Linked DNA regions of Coturnix japonica. The protein of the gene in region 3 interacts with the protein of the main gene of each other region in a pairwise test. Links are inferred from orthologs where the notes say so. Each region holds a gene or a part of one and is shown on either strand. Other genes may lie near its edges. The genes, in order: WWP2, STAM2, FAM189A2, UBQLN1 and BAG3.

What was found.
Region 1: the proteins of FAM189A2 (region 3) and WWP2 interact in binary tests that used the Homo sapiens proteins (3 or more experiments, as listed by UniProt). The link is inferred for Coturnix japonica from reciprocal best matches to the Homo sapiens genes ENTREP1 and WWP2.
Region 2: the proteins of FAM189A2 (region 3) and STAM2 interact in a two-hybrid assay, tested with the Homo sapiens proteins (2 studies listed by BioGRID and IntAct). The two-hybrid records come from large-scale screens. The link is inferred for Coturnix japonica from reciprocal best matches to the Homo sapiens genes ENTREP1 and STAM2.
Region 4: the proteins of FAM189A2 (region 3) and UBQLN1 interact in a two-hybrid assay, tested with the Homo sapiens proteins (2 studies listed by BioGRID and IntAct). The link is inferred for Coturnix japonica from reciprocal best matches to the Homo sapiens genes ENTREP1 and UBQLN1.
Region 5: the proteins of FAM189A2 (region 3) and BAG3 interact in a two-hybrid assay, tested with the Homo sapiens proteins (2 studies listed by BioGRID and IntAct). The link is inferred for Coturnix japonica from reciprocal best matches to the Homo sapiens genes ENTREP1 and BAG3.

The regions. Positions count from the first base shown.
Region 1 is NC_029526.1:16,981,975-16,986,194, forward strand, and holds the start of WWP2 (NEDD4-like E3 ubiquitin-protein ligase WWP2), read left to right. Parts: upstream 1-1,410; 5' UTR 1,411-1,439; coding exon of another isoform or gene 1,440-1,482; intron 1,483-3,371; exon of another isoform or gene 3,372-3,372; 5' UTR 3,373-3,387; coding exon 3,388-3,457; intron 3,458-3,813; exon of another isoform or gene 3,814-3,893; intron 3,894-4,072; coding exon 4,073-4,220. Other genes in the region: RNA-binding protein NOB1, read right to left, coding at 163-387, 461-598, 682-753, 829-962, 1,049-1,181, 1,276-1,347. UniProt on the Homo sapiens protein: E3 ubiquitin-protein ligase which accepts ubiquitin from an E2 ubiquitin-conjugating enzyme in the form of a thioester and then directly transfers the ubiquitin to targeted substrates.
Region 2 is NC_029522.1:30,567,904-30,570,646, reverse strand, and holds part of STAM2 (signal transducing adapter molecule 2), read right to left. Parts: intron 1,611-2,743; coding exon 1,441-1,610; intron 1,099-1,440; coding exon 870-1,098; 3' UTR 1-869.
Region 3 is NC_029547.1:31,114,289-31,118,485, forward strand, and holds the start of FAM189A2 (protein FAM189A2), read left to right. Parts: upstream 1-1,396; 5' UTR 1,397-1,429; coding exon 1,430-1,780; intron 1,781-3,431; coding exon 3,432-3,488; intron 3,489-4,197. UniProt on the Homo sapiens protein: Functions as an activator of the E3 ubiquitin protein ligase ITCH in the ubiquitination of the CXCL12-activated CXCR4 receptor. Thereby, triggers CXCR4 endocytosis and desensitization, negatively regulating the CXCL12/CXCR4 signaling pathway.
Region 4 is NC_029547.1:36,145,650-36,149,164, reverse strand, and holds part of UBQLN1 (ubiquilin-1), read left to right. Parts: intron 1-3,230; coding exon 3,231-3,346; intron 3,347-3,515. UniProt on the Homo sapiens protein: Plays an important role in the regulation of different protein degradation mechanisms and pathways including ubiquitin-proteasome system (UPS), autophagy and endoplasmic reticulum-associated protein degradation (ERAD) pathway.
Region 5 is NC_029521.1:27,000,255-27,003,769, forward strand, and holds part of BAG3 (BAG family molecular chaperone regulator 3), read left to right. Parts: intron 1-722; coding exon 723-1,076; intron 1,077-3,106; coding exon 3,107-3,490; intron 3,491-3,515. UniProt on the Homo sapiens protein: Co-chaperone and adapter protein that connects different classes of molecular chaperones including heat shock proteins 70 (HSP70s), e.g. HSPA1A/HSP70 or HSPA8/HSC70, and small heat shock proteins (sHSPs), e.g. HSPB8.

The DNA.
Region 1 (4,220 bases), on a different chromosome or scaffold from region 3:
AATGGGCTCTGGGTAGGCGCTGCTGTGGTACAGCTGCTGCTGTGGGGAGAACTGACAGCTTTGAACACAAAAGAAAGCATCGCAGGTTGACTTTTGTATGGTACGTGTGTGGGATCAACCGAGCTGTGTGCTGGAGACAGGGCCATGTGAGGCAGCACTCACCTGCATGGAGAAGTCTGTGGTGACACAGCCGACCTGCACGTTGGCAGGCACGGTGTCGCAGTGCCCCGTGTCCTGCTGGACCTGCTTGAGGTTGCTTGGCGTTATCCAGCCCTCGTCATCATCGCTCCCTTCATCCTCATCCTCTTCCTCCTCGGCACCATCCCCATCCTCTGAGCTCTGACACTCGTCGGTGGCTGCCGGGCTGCTGGAGGTGCTGTGTGTTTTCTGCAGAGATGGGCAGTTGGTGCCGTGTATGCCAATAAGCTGGGATGTGGGGCAGTGAGCACAGCAGCCTCACCAGCATCTCCTGGAGCTCGTCCTCGATGTCGGGCAGGGGCAGCCTCCAGTAGAGGAAGGAGCTGAACTCAGCACTGTCAGGCAGCTCCGTGCTGCTGTCGTGGCCGTGCTGCTGCTGGCTCTTCCGCGGGCGTTTGTGCTGGGGGAGACACAGCAGCCCCGGGCTCCACATCCCCGCTCCTCTCACCCCTCACCCCCCTTTGTCCCCATCACCCCCTGTACCTTGGTGGGCAGGTGGAAGCCGGCGATGTGCAGCGTGGCCTCGGGGTGACACGGGCTGGAGCTGAGCTGCACCTGTGGGCAGCGCCGGGATCAGCAGCGCCCGCAGCCCAGCCCAGCCCCATCCCATCCCATCCCATCCCCCGTTACCTTGTCCGGGGGCTGCAGGCGGACGCTGCCCGGCCCTGTGATCTCGTCCTGCATCTGGCAGGTGAGCGCCAGCACCTGCAGGTCGGCGGCCGACAGGCTGGGGAAGTCCCCGGTGCGCTTGGCGAACTCGGTGACTGCGGGACGGGGCGGAAGAGGCCGTTACCCCCATTATCCGTTACCCGTTATCCGTTACCCATTATACCCGCCCCCCGTCACTCACCGTTCCGCACATACTCAGCCCTCGGTCGGCGGAGCTGCAGTTCGTAGGGCAGCGCTGCCAGGCGGCGCCGCGCCCGCCGGTCCCGGATCTCGGCCAGCACCTCGGGCACGGTGTACACGCTGCGCGCCACGTCCTGCGGGCGGAACAAGGCTCAGCCCGTGCCCGGAGCGGCCCCCAGCCCCGACCCCGTTCCGGACCCGCCCCATCCGGCCGCTCTCGGTCCGTACCTGCAGCGCGGCACCGCTCAGGAACGCGCCGGTATCGGCCACCACGTGCGGCACGCGGCCCATGTCCGCCATGTTGGCTGCGTCCCTCTGCGCCGCGCGGGGGCTGACGGGAGGGCGGCGCGGGGCAACTTCCGGGCGGCGCGGTCAGGTGCGCGCGGGGTCACATGACGGCGGAGCTGCAACCGGAAGCGGGAGAGCGGAGGAGCGGTGAGAGCGGGAGGGGAGACGGTGTAACGGGGTGTAACGGGGTGTAACGGGGTGTAACGGGGTGTGATGTGACGGTGTAACGGTGTAACGGGGTGTGATGGGGTGTAACGGTGTAACGGTCGGGCTGCGGGCAGCTGCTCCGCTCCGCTTTACCGGCAGCGGCTGCCGGCCAACAGAGGGGAAGCCCGGCGGGGCGGCCCGTGGCACCGGCTGTGGGGGCTGAGGGGCGGCACCAGGTACCGGGCTCCGGGCGCTGCCTCACACCGCGCGGTGCCGGTTCGGTCCCGGTTCCCGGTTTTGGGCGCAGCTCTGAAGCTCAGCGCGGTGCAGCGCTGCGCCACGGCTGTGCCGGTGTCCTGATGTCCCGGTGTCCTGATGTCCCGGTGTCCTGATGTCCCGGTGTCCTGGCTGTCCCCGCTGTCCCGTGCCGGGCGCTGCCCGGTGTCCCGCAGTGCGGGTCGCGGTGGCCGCTCTCGGGCGGGTGACGCTGCGGCTCCACGGGACACAGCGGGAGAGGACGAGGCTCCGTGTGTGCGGTGACGGGTTGGAACGAACGAGTTTGGTGAGCGATGAGTCCGAGCCGGGTCGGCTCCCGTGGCAAAGCCTGGGCTGCGCTGTGACTGTGCACTGCGGGGCTGCGGGTGGTGCCTGAATCTGACGGAGCAGCGCGGAGCCCCAGGTCCCGGTGAGGTGGGTCTGTGCTGTGGGGCTGTTGGTGGAGCAACAAGTGCCCCCGGGAGGAGCTCAGTGCTCACTGCCCCATCCTGCTCAGGGCTCGGTGTCAGGCCACCTCGTTCCGTGGGCCTGGATAGTGTTTGTAATGAAGTAAGTGATGGTGTGGAATCAGCCAGCAGTATCCTGGGGGGTGATCTGTGGGCCGGAGTAATGGAGTTGGAATAACTTGTAATAGTATCACAGTCAGTCTTGGACATGACCACAGCCTGTAGCTGGCTCCCAGCTGCCAGAGAGGATGGAGGGGCTCCTTGCCATCCCCTGCTCACCTCTCGTACCCCAGCAGTGCATTCCCAGGGAGGCTGTGTGAGGCCTCCAGGCTCAGCCTTGTGCCAGGCTGGTGTCAGGAGGGGTTTAAAAGGAGTTGGCAGGGGTTGAGGAGGGCCCCGTGAGAGCAGTGTGGTACCATAGCTGACTGCTGGTGTCAGACTGAGCACCTCGTGCTCCTGCGTGATCCCTGACCATGGGGTTTTCCTTTATGGTCAGGCATTTCAGTAGGAAACCTGCAGCCTCTGCCACGTGGGGAGCTCCAGGGGAAAGCTGTGGCAGATGGGGGAGAGGGAAGTGCTGTGGCTGCTGTCAGCGATGCAGTGCCCCAGCAAAAGGAAGTGGTGAGTGCTGGGAAGGTGCAGGCCGTGCTGGGGTCCGGCCCTGAGGTTGGAGAGTCTGCAATTCCCCTCCGTGCTGAGCTGCAGCTCCGCAGTGTGTTGGAGTAGGGAGGACCAATTTTTCCATGGTGTTTTGCTGCCTGGCAGCCACTTGGGCTGTCCTTGAGGGACATGCAGCTCTGCTGTGCTGTGAGCAGACCCAGCTCATGGTGCTGCTGTCTCATCCTTTCCAAGGGATCTCACGTACCATACTGTGCCCTCACCTGCAGACTTTGGTTTTCGTTTGGTGTTCGGCAGCACTGGAGGTTGCTCTGTCCCCATGGCCAGAGTCAGCAGCAGCCTCGGGGTTGGGGTGAGGTGGAGTTGCTCACAAGGCTGCCTGCAGGCTGCTGCCCCAAGTGGCTGTGTGCTCTTATGGCTGTGTGCTCTTATGGCTGTGTGCTCTTATGGCTGTGTGCTCTTTCTGCTGTGTGCAGTGCTGGACACAGGATATCTTTGGGCCCCAACTCAGCGTCGGTGCTGAGTCCCCATCTCTCTCTCTCCCTTCCAGGCCGGGGGTGATGACATGGCCTCTGCAAGCTCCAGCAGGGCCAGGGCAGGGCTGCCCTGTGAGAAGTCCCAGCTCTCTGTGAAAGGTGAGTCCTGTGCAGGGCTGGGAGCTGGGCTTTGGGTGCACCCAGGTGGGGGACCTTGGGGTTCCTTGGTGGGGAGGGGCCGTGTTCCAGGCTCTGTGGTGCATGCAGCCTTTACCAGGCCTTGGTGCTGGTGGCCTCTGGAAGCAGAGCGCTGCCTGTGGGGGGCTCTGCCTCCTCTGCTGGGATGTGGCTCCGTGGCTCTGCCAGGGCGGTGTTTGTCCTGCAGTGGCCACGAGATGGCTCCAGATGCTCGGAGCTGTGTCCCAGCACTGCCCACAGCCCTCTGGTCCAGGCATGGCCATCTAGAGAGTGGCAATTCTCCCTGGCCAACTGCCTCCTTCCCTTGGCTCCTGCAGAACCCCTGTGTCCCTGGCTTGTCATAGAGCACGGGCTTTCTCATCAGGCTCCTGGGGCTGGGAGCAGCTGAACAGGGATGGTAGGTGTCTGTGGGGTGAAATGGGAGTGGGTGAAGCATGAGCGGGGCTGTCTCAGCCCAGTGCTGTCCCCTTCCCAGAGCATTGGTGGCAGAGATGGGGTGTGTAAGTGTGAGGCAGTGTCCTCGGGCAGGGGCTGTGGCTGTGGGGCTGCTGCTTGACCCCTGCCTGTCCCACTCAGTGGTGTCCGTGAAGCCCAAGGCCCACAGCCGCCAGTCACGGATGAACTGCTACGTGGAGGTGGCGGGCGATGGGCTGCCCAGCGAGACCAAGAAGACGGGAAAGCAGATGGGGAGCTCTGAGCTGCTGTGGAATGAGATCCTCATCCT
Region 2 (2,743 bases), on a different chromosome or scaffold from region 3:
CTCCTTCACTTCTACATACAACAACAACAAAAAAGGAAAAGAATAGATATTCTGTGCAAGTTTCTGGCTCAGCACCGTGTATCCAGAGTACCCACACAGGCCGCTGGGAGCATCCCTTGCGTGCTTGTGCAAAGGCATCATGTGCTTGCTGTCCCACCTGCGCCCAAAGCCACAAGAGAGCTCAAGCATCAACTGCCCCATTCCCAGTTTCTTTCAAGAGAAACACATCAGGAGCTGCAGTTTCCCAAAATCCAACAGGCAGTGCTATAAAAACGTCATTTCTCCTATATCTGTAAGTACGCGGTTCTCTGTCACAGTATCAAATCATTTTCTCTTCCAGCTCTCATCTGCTTCACTTGTGCAGCTGTTCCAATTATGCAGCACACACCATACTGTAAAGCTCACTATGGCAGCACGGAGAGGAGGTGTCTAAATCAGCAGAAGCTCTTTAAAGCTACTTGGATGGAAAGATTACAGCGAGACACCAGAGGAGACGATGCGTAACGAGAGCAACACATAACAGTGACTATGCATCACTATGCATCCTCGCGTTTCTAGAAACACATAAAATTAATTTTGGACATGTTTTTACTTGAATTCAGACACACAAATGGCTTTTCTTTCATTGAAACCACTGAAACAAGGGCTCAAAGCAATGTGAAATTATTTTAAATCATCGGCTCATCTTGTTCAAACTATCATTAAGGAAATGATTAACAATCAGATCCGATGCATACTGCTACTCAGCATCACCCCTAAGTTGGGTTATTTTAAAGAAAATGTATTTTGATATCTGTGACAGGTATTAATAAAAACCATTAGATTCAGCAATCACTCTTCATTATTTTGGAAACAAGCCTGGTCTGTTTTTAAAGGAGAGGCTGTTGGTGGTAGTTGGTTTGTTGCTGTAGAACGGAATGAGCAGGAACTGCCATGGGATAACCCGGTCCTTGAGGCAAACTTGACGTGTTACTCTGGTAAGCAGCCATATCCACTGAGCCCATTTGCTGCTGGCTGTACACTGCTGTGCTGGCAGCTGCAGGAAGGCCGGGGCTCTGGGTCACGAACGTCTGGTTTAACACAGAGTCTGGTCCTGGGCTGTAACAAAACAAAGCAAATCCAACTGTTACAAGCTCACAAAACTGGTTCTCCGATAAGAATTTTTTCTTAGCTGTACGAATGTTTTCAGACTTACACATCACTGTAAACACCCCAGAGCTGCAGCCTCTAGGAGGGTGGTGAGGCTGTGGCACTGCTGCCCAGCTCCATCTCTGGAGGTGTTGCACATGCACAGAGCTCTGGGCATCATGGCCTGGTGACAGTTACCCCTGCCCATGGCTGCGGATTGGAAGTGGATGGTCTATGCAGCTCCTTCCAGCCCAACCCATTGTGCAATTCTATGCAAAGGGTAACGTAAGAGTTCGCTGAAATGACTGATACCTTAAATAAGCAGTTTGTACAGGCTGAGTTGCTCCAGACGAATTGATATTTTGAGGCAGAGACCTGAGCTGCCCCATCTGGTCAGGTCCTAGGCCATAACCTTGAGAAACGGTGACCTGGTGAACACCTTGGATCATGTAGTTCCCACTAGGTGGCTGTACAGGATACGGCTAAATAATAATAATAATAAAGATATAACTTATTTAAGTAGCAGTAAATGTAGCACAGAATACAACTGCAATGAATAAATACTTTAGGGTTCAAAGTCTGAACAAACTGATTCTGAATTTATTTTCCTACCTCGGGTCTAACAATAAAACACACAACTTCTCCTAACACACGTATGGGTTTCTAACAGACATCCTTTCTTCCATCACCAGGCATCTCTTTCAAAAACGCACTGCTAACAAGGTCTGTGGTCATTTATCTGAGAACAACCCTTTTGCTCATTAACACCACTCTTCCACCTCCCAGAAACCTTATTTCTTTTCCACCAGTTTGCCTTGTCTTTCAGTCCTCAGCATATTTTGAGCAGGAAGATGAGCACCATACAAAATTTGATTCCCCAAAATGTATAAAATAGCAAAATGTACAAATAGTCCCAGATTACAAGAGAAGGAAAGCAAAAACTTCGCTTTCTCATATTTCTAGTTTAAGTTAAGTCTTTACTCAAATCTGATCAAACGAGCGGTAGAACCTGCTAACACAAGGCTACACTGCCCACTGCTTCTGGACTCAGTATGGCTGCGTATCGACACCAAAGGAACAGACACTTGAGTCAATACTAGGCCCAGCACAAATACCATTATCTTCTGTGTTTCACTGCTGGGCGCATTCCCTTTGAAAGAACAAGTAAACTCCTGTTGCCTTTTGGCTTCAGTTACTTTTTAACCTCCAAATACAATGATATTTTCCACCATAACCAGAAGTTAAGGATACAGAATTACTTCAAACTGACATTTTCAGATCTAGCAGTTGCTATAGCAACTATTCTTTTCCTAGGGAACAATTAACATTAAATAAAATTCACTAGAAGTAAAACCACTCACTCTATGCTTCCTGTAAAAAAAAAGACCTTTAAAATCTCTCTTTCTTCTCATCTTTGTTTCCTTAGAACACCAATGTAGCACCCTAGAGATACTGTAAGTCAATTTTGAGCAACTACACCCACTAATGTAATACTCTTCCCAGCCCCTCGCCTTAGGAAATCGTGAGCTAAAACCAGACCAAGGTTTTTATACTTAGCAAAAGTGCACTGCACTCGTGATTAATGCACTAATATTAAAGTTCACTCACATCCCTA
Region 3 (4,197 bases):
CCTCAGCCTGTAATTAGGAAACGCAAAAAGAAAGTATGCTCAAAGAAAGTGTAGGAGAATGGCAAGGCTTGGGACATCATAGAAGATTCCATCCACCAGATGAAGTGCAGAAATCCCGCTTTTATTTTTTCTAAGCAAGATGGCAGACAGATAGGGCTGCAACCTGACTTCTGATGCAGCACCCTCTGACTTTGGCTCTGTTTTGTGTGTTTGTCATGTAACATTGGGACATCTGCACTGCAGCCCAGAAATGCATGGGCACAGCATTTTGCAGGGGCCTGGTGTCTTTCAGGAATATATTTACAGTGTCTGTAAATCTATTTTAACCACATGAAAGGCAAAATCTTACAGCCATGAAGCGAGCAGCAAATCAGTTTTACAATAGCCTCACAGAAAAGGCTGAAGTTGCATGTTTACTAATCAATGAGTTGAGTTATGGGGCACAGTCATGCAGCACAGATGGCAGCAGCATTTGGGCAGCCCGCTAACCACTGGGGCATTAAATACTGCTGCTCTGGCCGGTGGCCCATAAACCCTGGCACACAGATTGTTCTGAGGTGTCTTTATTGCAAGAGGACGGCTCTGGCTGGCAAGAGATGCTTCTGGGTAAGGAGTCCTATAAATCCTGAATAGCAAGTCAGCAGAAATGCACAAAGTGTTCAATTCGAAAGCACTACCTGTAACACCAAAGGTTCTCCTTGCTTTGAATCAAAGCTTACGCACTGCTACAACGCATGTGGCACGTGTCCAGTGAAGACAGTAACGCCTTTAACACAGCTTATTTTCCTACAGTTCTAAAAGCTGGATTCTTTTTCTATCTGAGATGTGCTTTGAGTTCCTGTCCAGACCAGCCTAGCAGATACGAAGCCACACACGCTGATCAGAAGCTGGGCGCTGATCGCTGATTCCCGATCTTCCTTTCCTGGAGCATTTCAACAAGCACAGGAGCCCCATCGCAGCAGCCCTTTTTACCCCAGCAGGAGAGGACAAGGCGGACCCACCGCCCCTCGGCACCCCCTGCTTACAGAGCAGCTCGTTCCCCTCGGGCCGGGCCGCCCGCCAGCGCCGTGTAAGGCAACCCGGCGGCTTCGCGCCTCCTCCGGAGCACTTATTTTAGAACTCGGGACAACCGCGGCACGGCAGCAACCACAGGAGAAGGGGCGCGGTGCCGGGGGAGGGCGGCGGGTCGGGGGCAGCCGGAGCACCGCGATGGCCAAGGCCGACGGGCGGGGCGCGGCGGGGCGAGGCCGGGGGGCGCCGGGTGCCGTCCCCCGCAGCGAGGCGGGGAGCGGCGGATCCGCGGCACGGCCCGTCCCCGGCGGCACCTCCCGGGCGGGGCGGGGAGGGCAGAGCCACAGGAAGTCGGCGCCCGGGTGGGCTGGCACAGGGGCGGCGGAGGGCAGGCGCGGCCCGGCCGGCGGGTGCCCCGATGTCGCTGCCGGCGGTGCTGCCGGGCTCCTGCTGCCCCGTGCCGGGGCTCTCCGCCGGGTCGCCGGCCGCCGGCACCGCCATGCGGCCGCCGGGCTCGTTGCCCGCCGAGCCCTCGCTGCCGCCGCTCCGGTCCCGCCGCGCCGGCTGCCCGCGGCCGCTCCCCGCCGCCAGCTTCTCGTCCTCCCGCCGCGCCTCGGGCGCCGGGCTGCTGCCGTCGCGGCCGCTGCTGTCGCTGGGGCTGCTGCAGCTGGTGCTGGGCTGCTGCATGGTGGCGCTCAGCTTCGGGGCGCTGTCGCTGAGCGGCGCCCAGGAGGTGAAGAACGCGTGTCCCTTCTGGGCCGGCTCCTCGGTACGTCCCCGGCAGCGGGTGGCGGGATGGGACTCGTGCGCGGGGCGTGCTCGCTGCTGGCGGCTCCGAGGAGCGCCGGTACTTCCCTCCTGTTGCGTTCTGACAGCAGCCGCCGTCCGAGCGGCGGGACAAGGCCCGGGCCTCGGCTCAGCCCGGAGCGCCGCGCTCGGTGCCGGGCGGCCCGTCCGGAGCGCGTACCGTGCCTTAACCGGGCTGCAGCCCGAGCCGCGCGGATGGCGGCGTGGTGTCTGCACTGACGTTTCTGTCTTACCTTTGGCTTTCTTTCGCCTTCTTCTTTCTCGTTCCAAGTCAAAGAGAGTTTATTTAGATCTCGGCAGCCACGGGCTTTCTTTTAACCCTGTGCACAGAACCATGCTTATACTAACAAAATGTTCTGAAGCTGCACGTGTAACCTGGAAATGCCCAGTTACCTTAATAATAATAATAATAATAACAAAGACCTTTTTTCACACTAGTTCTGAAACAATGACATATTCAGTCTTAAAAAATTACCTGAAGTGTCTTCTGAGCGTAGCTGCATGAGTGAAACGTCTCGTCCAGAAGCAGTGTGGGATGCTGGGGCAGCTGTCATTCAGTATGTGCCTTTCTCTCATCTTAGGCACAGCACCCTTCTTGGGATGCACTCATGAAAGGCACTCTTGAGGGAGGCATTTCTTCCATATACCTTAAATCTTAATCATAATGAAACCAGTGTTGGCATCCCTAAGGATGCCACCCCATTCCTATATGCATTGGTGTGCTTTTTTATAAAAGCACGTGTCTATTTTGTGCTCAGAGAATTGTAAAATGTTTGTTATGAAACTGCAGCATTATGTATGTGCTTTTGCAACAGCAGTGGTGATACCAGGAGGTGTTTTGGCCAAGTCATGTATGCCTGTTATGCTAGGTCAGATCAGTCATGTCAGGTTAATGAAGCGGCTGAAGGGATTTGATAAAAATGATAGTGGGCAGCTTCCCCTTTGTGTCCCTGCTTGGCTTTGGGGTGGGAGTGCAGTCTGAACTGGCCTAGTCACAAAGGCCCCCGAACTAAAGATAGTTCCTGCTTGCACCCAGGACCAGCTGAGAAATGAGTTTGCCTTTCCTTTTGGTTCTCATTCATCCAGTGAGGAGTATCTGGGTGTGTGGTTTGCTTCGGTTCTGCAGCAGTGCTTTCTCCTTCCTTAACTGTTTTGTCCTCAGATGAAGTTGTGGGGACAGCTCGTGGTTCAGCAGGTCTGATTAGCAGCCCCTGCTGCAGAGGGGATGCTTCTGCTTGCTTTTTCCTTACACGCATGCTGCTATGCTGGCTGAGTAGCAGGAAAAGCATGTCCTAGGTTGGAAGTAACTTTTTTTTTGGCAGTTGATGGGGGTGGGAATTGCTGGCGTGACTTTCTGGACATTTTATGTGAGGAAGCAAAACAGTAGATAAAAATTTCAGTTCCAGTTGTGTTTTCCCTTGAGGTGCTCTTCGGGGTGAAGAACCTCATCAACACAGGCTCTGAGTTTCTGCTGTAGAGTGTCCCCCATGTCATCTCAGCACTGCTCTCACACTCCAAAATACTTCCCATCAGAGCAGTGGCAAATACTGTGTAAATGGCATTTTCTGAACAGTAGTTCCCTTCTTGGTAATGCTGTTTTCTTAATGTTACAGGTAATTTTATCTGGAATCATAGGGCTGACAACGTGGAAGAGGCCCATGATACTGCTGGTGAGTATGGATTAAAACTTGTTGTGAGAGAATTTTCAGCAGATGTGCAGGAATTATCAGGTTATCAGCAGTCATGTTAAACAGCTCTGCTTCTTTCTCCTTGAAAAAAAAAAACAGACCGTACTGTTGAGTCTATTTTGTAGTCTGCAGAGCTGTAATTGTTGAAGAAGTCAGATGCCATGGAAGGCTGAGTTCTTCAAACATCCTGGAGTTCTTCTAGGAGACTGATAAGAGCAGGAGAGCATCATGCCTGGAGAATGTGCTGGTGTTCACAGAACGCTTTCTGTGTAGGTATAGGAGAATACTGGTTTAATATGGATAATTCATCTCTCTGAGACAGTGCTGCTAAACCTTAGAGGCAGCTGGTTTGAAAGCTGTGCTCGTTTGACCTGTGCAAGTGTTTGATGGCAGGCTGAGCTAAGCTAAGCACTGCTGTTCTACAGTATCCAGAGTTAGTGATTCAAATACAGTTGACATTACATTGTTCTGAGAGGAGAAAATCAATGTGCAAGGGTGTGTAAGCTGTTTCTGCTTGTAAGTGAAATCTGAAGCCGGGTAGCTCTCGGAAGTCTCAGTAATGGGATTTGCATGAAAGCATTTGAAGGTGGGTTTTGTTGGTTTTGCTGGTTTTGTTTTCACTATACTATAACTTCTGAAGTACTTTCTCCAGGGAAAGCAGTTGTTTTGTCTCTTTGCAGTGTGTGTTTGG
Region 4 (3,515 bases), about 5.0 Mb from region 3:
TGTCTGTTGAGCAGTATTACTTTTGGGACATTAAAAAAGAAAAAAATAGGGGAGAAACATTTCTGTTTTGGAGAGAGAGAAAGGAAGGAAAGTCCTTGAAGGAGAACTACTCTAGTGCAACCAACTTGTTTGCCTGAGCAGAAAGACTTTTTTTGAGATATTTTGATGAGGCTGCTTCTAAACGACAGTGAGAAAGATGCATAAATCTACAAATTACTTGTGAAGTGTCCTGAAGGAACAGCTGACTGAAAATCATTTTTGTCAACTAGGGTAAGGTATACCTCATTTGTATCTAGATTATATAGTCAATAACATGTTTGTTCTAGTCTGAAAGCATTCTTCCTATTCTTATGTCTGTCCTGTTTGTGTCAAGGATCTTCTGTGGGAGAAGGTCAGATGTTGGAGGGAAACAGCATGAAAGCAGTAAGAAGAAAAAAGAAATACGCTTCCCCCTCTTAGGCCTCACTAGCATTATCCTGACTTTCAAGCACCTGTTGAAATGTAGGCCTGATAAGCAATAGTGATATTGTATGCAGTATAATCTAGTACTGTAATATTCTCCATGTTTCTGAACAGTACTCTGCTGTTGCTATGACTTCTTCTCTTTTTAATTTAGTCTCTTGAGTGCGATAGGGAAGTTTCATAAACCATGGTAGTAGTGATAATATATCTTTGACTTGCACATTCCTCTGTGTATTCATAAATTGGACTTAACAGTAGTTGTAAGTACTAAATCAAAGTACTGAAATAGCAGTGCTAGTCAGTCTCTTGTACCTTCTCACGCTTTGCCTCTGACCAATTCTAGGTGCAATGTCACGTTGTTTTTACAAGGTTGTTTTGTTTTTGTTTTTTTGCCTTCAAGAAGTCTTGATGTCCCTGCATGAATTCTCTCAGCATTTCTGTCCACATCATATTCTATCACATCTTATCCCAGTCTCCCACAGTGTAATGCAGTTTACGCTGGCTGGCTTAATGTGGCTAGTAGAGTTTCAAAGTAGCAGTTGTTAGCAGTAGATAGTGAAGATATAATGAATTTCTGAAAATGAAGGTTCATGTAAGCACTGTTTTAGGTGCTTGCAAGCTGATAAGGGGCCATCATGGTAAAGTAGACTTAAAACATAGACTTGCATTTTCACTAAAAGGCTTGAAGCTGAAAGACTTGAGATATAACCAGTGTGTTTATATACCTCCGTTTCCAAATAGAAACATGTTGAAATGCTTTACAGGCATGTCCTGTTTTCTGTTTTACTTTGAGACCCACCAACTGAGAATAGCTCAGGTTCTTCAGAATAGCTGAAGAACCAAGTAAAGATTTATGCTTATATTATGCTTTTTTCTTACAAAGAAAATATTTGTGTATTTTCTTAGGCTAAAAAACCCCAAATGTCTTCATTAGGAAGTTTATATTAAGTATAAGTGCCTTTGCAGTCTATGATCTTTGTGACAGCTGCTTGGCTTGTTGCACTGATTACATGGTCTGATAGTGACAGGACAAATAGGATTGATTTTTAAAGTAAAAGAGGGGATAGTTTTGATTAGATGATAGGAGGAAATGCTTTATTCAGAGGATGGTGAGGCTGTAGTTGCCCAAAGAAGCTGAGGATGTCCCACCCCTGGAGGCATTCAGGGTCAGATTGGATGGGCCTGGGCAGCCTGATCTAGTGGGTAGCAGCCTTGTCCATGACAGGGAAGTTGGAAACTAGATCATATTTAAGGTCCCTTCCAGCCTAAGCCATTGTATGCAGCTGTGATTGTACTGGTCTTGGTGTTCAAAGTTGTCAGTTGCTCTTAAGCACAAATAGTCTGCAACATTGTTCTCAGGAACCCAGAGTATTACCCACTGCCTTCTTTCAGGAAGCCATATTACAAGCCCAAGTACACCTTTCTGGGGTTGTTAGTGTATATCTGGGATCTTCCCTCTAGAACAAGTTTTCCTTCAATAGTTTCTGTGAGTGCTTTTGTAGACTTGGAATTCTCTTATTAGAGTACAAATAAAAATAAGCAAAACTGAATTATATGAATCATTATGGACTGAAGTGTTAGGACAAAAATTAACGTCTCCTTCACTACAGTGGAACATCAGTAGCAATTGTAATGAAGTTGCGAAGTCCTGTTGTACCCTCAGTGTTCATGACTCAACATGCTACTGTTTTCAGGGGTGTTGATGGAACCTTTTATAAGGTAATACTGATGAGTTGATGGAAGAACTTGCAAAATCTGCAAAGCATTTCATTGTTGGTTTGGCTTTTGATTTTAGCAACAGAGCACTCTTAGATACTTCAGGGAAGCCTCTGTACTAAAGACATCTGTCTGACTTGTATGGGTTGTTGGTTTTTTTTGTTTGTTTGTTTTTGTTTTGACTGTGAGTTATTGAAGCAAGTACAGAAAAACGTTACTGAGATGAACTGATCTGTAGAATTTAGCATTATCGTCTAACCTTCAAGTCTTTGTGGAAGGTCTGCATGCATAGATTCTACAAATTATCTTACACTAATTCTGTAATTTTTCAAATGCAGATATTTATGTGATTGTTTAATGAACCAGCTTTAGCAAGTGAGCTGGGCTTAAATCTTGCATCATTGAGTAGAGGCTAGGTTAGCTTTGAATCAGCTGAGTTCTTTGATCTCTTACACCATACGTCAGCACCAATACCATTGCCTCTACTAGAGACAAGTGTAGTGAGCATGTGAATTAGGCAGCTGATTTTACTCCATTCTTAGTTATGAAGATTACTGAAATTCTGGTGCTTGTCTTGTAATAAGACCATAATAGAATTTCACATTGAGTAAGCCATCCTTACTGAATCCTTTATGGGATATGTTAGATTTTATGTGACTTCATTTCTTCAAGACTCAAGCATATAATCACTATTGTCTAATGGCTGTCAAATAAGGTTGGGTAAGGCAAAGAATCCCTGAAGCAAGGTAAAGACTCAGAAAGCAATGCACTGTCAGGTATCTCTGGGGTTGTATGAGGAGGTGGTAGTGGCTGCAGTGATGCCCATCCATTTTTGTAACGGTTGAAACTTCTGAAAAACAGATGATGTTACAGATGTCTGAGAGACTTACTACAGGAAGCTATCCAGAGAGATGCAATTCTGAAAAATTATAAAATGAGTAATAAAATGAAAAACTAAGTTTCCCAAGTATGACACCCATGATATGTTTAATGAAATTAGTTAAATTGATTTGCTACATTTGTAACTTTGAAACTGTCTTTTTGGTTTTTAGATCACAAGACCACCAAGCTCAGCAAACACACACCAGTGGGAGTGCTGATACCACATCAGCATCAAGCAGTAGTACCTCAACATCAACTTCAACAAATAGTAATCCTTTTGGCTTGGGTAAGAAAGTCTGTTATCCCTCATGGTCGGAGCGGTGGAGTACCTTTTCTACAAAGAAAGGCTGAGGAAGTTGAACTTTTTCACTCTACAGAAAAGAAGGCTTCAGGAAGATGAGATTGTGTCCTTCCAGTACTTAAAGGGAACTTTTAAGTGGGAAGAAGACCAGCTT
Region 5 (3,515 bases), on a different chromosome or scaffold from region 3:
AACTTGGCCCTAGCTGGGCCTCAAAATAGAATGACCGATGCAGGAAGAACTTAATAGAGGACTTGGGAGGGATCTTGGTACAAAGCACTTTCCCCCTTGCCAGAGCTTTGACATTGTCCAGTGAGTGCAGTTGGCCAGCACAGGAATTAATATTATCTAACCTTCCAGCATTTTCCTCTTCATTATGTTATCCTGTTGGAATCTGCTGAAGTGGATCCTCTCTTGGCTGTGAGTATCTTCTTCAGAATGAAGCAGCAGTAACTCTAGATAGGCAGTAGGAAGCACAATACCAACAAATACTGCTCTATGATGAGATAAATCTTCTAAGTTTCTTTTCTGCTGTTATCTATAACGCTGGGTGGATTTGAAGGGGTGTTAAGGAAACATCTGTGGTCCCTGAAGCTCTCATTTAATTAGCATGGTACCAGGTGAGGCAGCTGGACTCATGGCTGTATGCAGGTAGTGAGCGCTACAGAAAATCCCTGTTGTAATGTGGTATTTTAGTGCCTCAGTTAGCATTTATCAGCACTGAGGGTGAAAGGCTCATACCTAATTGGTGTTCAGCTTCCTTTCTCCTGCCTGCTGACCTTGCACAGACCTGAGGAGCTGAGCTTCTCATGCCTGGCTGACGCTTCTTTTAGACAGACCTTTATGGCTGCTTTCTTACGTGGTATGTTGAGCTGAGCTACCAACAAATGCTATGTGATGTTTTTAATTTCTAGGATGGCCAGTCGTCAGCAAATGGCCCATCTCAAGATAGTCCCAGGCAGATGCCAGCACGGGAAGGAAACGTGGTGTACCCCAAGCTCCGGGCTGGCTACATCCCCATCCCAGTCATCCACGAGGGCATCGACAGCAGACAGCACCCATACTTTGCTGCTCCACAGCCCGGCGTACAGCGGTACAAAGCAGAAGCCGTGCCCACCACAGCGCAGGCACAGCCACCACTGAGGGGGGCCTATGCCAGCCCTGAGTCCCCTCATAGGGGGCCGGCTGAGGCTTCCCAGGCAGATAAACAATGTGGACAGACAACAGCAGCTGCAGCAGCCCCAGCTCCAGCGACACACGGACCTGAGGTAACTCGGCAGTACTGCTGGGGTGTGTGTGCCTTGGTCTCTGCGGCCATGTATGACCTGACTGTCACACGAGTACTTTATCCTTTGGAAAGCCAAACCTGCCACAGGATTACATTTTCCCAATACTTCCACAGTGTTGAAATACAAAAGTGCTCAGTCACTTCAGCAGAAGTGTTTCACATTTTTCCGGCATTGACAGCTTTTGTTATCAAGTGATTTGCACAGAAACAAGCCTGTGAAAATTTTCTCTATAAAAAAGCCTGTGAATGGTGCAGGTGCTCCTGCGGCAGGTGAGGGCTGTTGTAGGGTTTAGAGTGGTTACTCTGCAAGCTGGGAATGCAGGCAGATCTCTTGCATTCCCTATGTGGGAAACAGGTGAGCAAGGGGAGAGACACAAAATACAAGTGTCCCATTAGCTGACAGCTTAGGCTGTTTCAGAAACAGGGCTATTCTGCTTTCCAGTTTAATACTCTGGTTTTATTAATTGTATAGATCTGCATACACAGATTTAGAAGTGAATTCGGAAATATTTTTGTTGTTATTTTGTAGTATGTTATAATACATGAACTGCTTTAAAAAGAGTCACCCTCCTTGCTTTGCTTTTCAAAAGGCAGGATTTTGGTTTGTCTGTTATCTCCTCAGAATTAGCAGGAGCAGTATTCTTGTAATAGGCTGAAGCACTAATCTCACTTCTGTTCCAAGTAAAATAAGCAGGAAATCGAGCCTCTATCAGCATGAAAACACATGGGGAATTTTTCATGTCGGCAGTGGCAGATATTTTTCTAAAACCTGTTTTTGTGTCTGAACAAGACAATTAAAATCCTGTTCGCAGTTTTCCTCAGTTGTTGCTGCTTTATCCATGAAGTGCAAGGATGGGAGGCTTAGTTCTTCCTTCTCTCAACTTAATGCAGCTGGGAATATACTTTTGTATTACATGCAGAATTGCTTCAGAAAAGTCTTCTCCATCTCATGTGCTCTGAGATAACTGCTGAGGACTGGAGAAGCTGCCATCACAAACTTAGGTGGCATGGGCACTAACTGACCAGGGCACTGACACAGCAGTGCTGGTGCCTGTAGAAAAAGTAGCATTTATTTATAGCTGCTGAGCTGCAGAGGTGAGCATTAACTAGCACAAAAGACATCTTGTTCCCTATCCTTTCTCACCTTGCCTGCCTACTTGTTGCTTCCAGCTACATTGTCCTGCTCTCCCTCCTGTGCTAACTCCAGTCTTACCTGGCCTGTCACTGAGATATCAATAAACCTGTCAGGAAATAATTTTTCCTCTCCTTCATGGGTTAAAGTATAGAGAATAGTCCATAGTAGGTGAGTTGATGGACTGGCACAGCAGGAGTAGAGAAGGAGTGAGCTGTGAGCAAATAAACTGCCTTTCCCCAGATGCTGTGGAACCATAACCTGAAATACCAGAAGCTGAATTGTGGTGTATCCCCAGCACTTGCTCCTGCTTACAGCAAATCTACACTAGTGCAGCTATCACTCCTGGTGCCAACAGGGCTGATGTGCTGGAAGGTCTCGTGAGGGGTCAAGGGGCATTAGCCACACATAGCAGGCTTTGGCAGTGCACTAAATTACATGCTTAAAGAAGTAAATAAATCTGTTAGCATGAGTGGGATCAGAAGTCTGAACTTTGTGTGCCTCTGAGTAGTTTGTTTTTTGTCTGCAGTACATAATTTGTTTGCTTAACTTTAGTTTGCCTCACATTTAACAGGTTTAGACAGGAGTAGCCATGTAAAAACAGAAAACATTCTGAGTGAGCATCCACTCCCTGCTTACTTGAGGGCTGGGAATGCTGTAGCTCAGGTTATTACTTGTTATAATGATGCTCTCTCACAACTTCTGTGGTTTGTCTAGCAAGGCAAAAAAAAATAGAACACAAACCAACACAAACCCAAACCAAGGACGTAGATCTTTTGTATGTGGGAACACAAATTCAGTTTCCATTTCTCTTTGAAAATGAAAAGTGCTATGAGCTGAAACAGCTGATTTAATAATGGATTTTGTTTTCATGGCAGCCTCAGTCTCCTGGAGCTTCTGATTCTCAAACGGTTCCACCTCAGTCATCTGGCAGATCCAATTCAGGAAGCCATCAGCTTCCCCGTGGCTATATTTCAATTCCTGTGATCCATGAAAATATCCAAAGGCAACCACCGCAAGGCTACCATCAGGCCCAGAAGACACACTACCCTGCCCAGCAGAGTGAATTCCAAGCCCACCAACCTGTATTTCCCAGAATTCAACCAGATGACAGGGAGCCTAAGACAGCACGAGCACAGTCTCCATTCAGAGCCACTCAGAGAGGGGCATCAAGTCGTGAGAGTTCACCTGCCAGAATTATCACCCAGCAGGTACAGCCCTCGACTCCCATCACAGTACAGACGGTCGTAGACAGACCTCAGGTATGTAGAGCGGGGAGGGTTATTA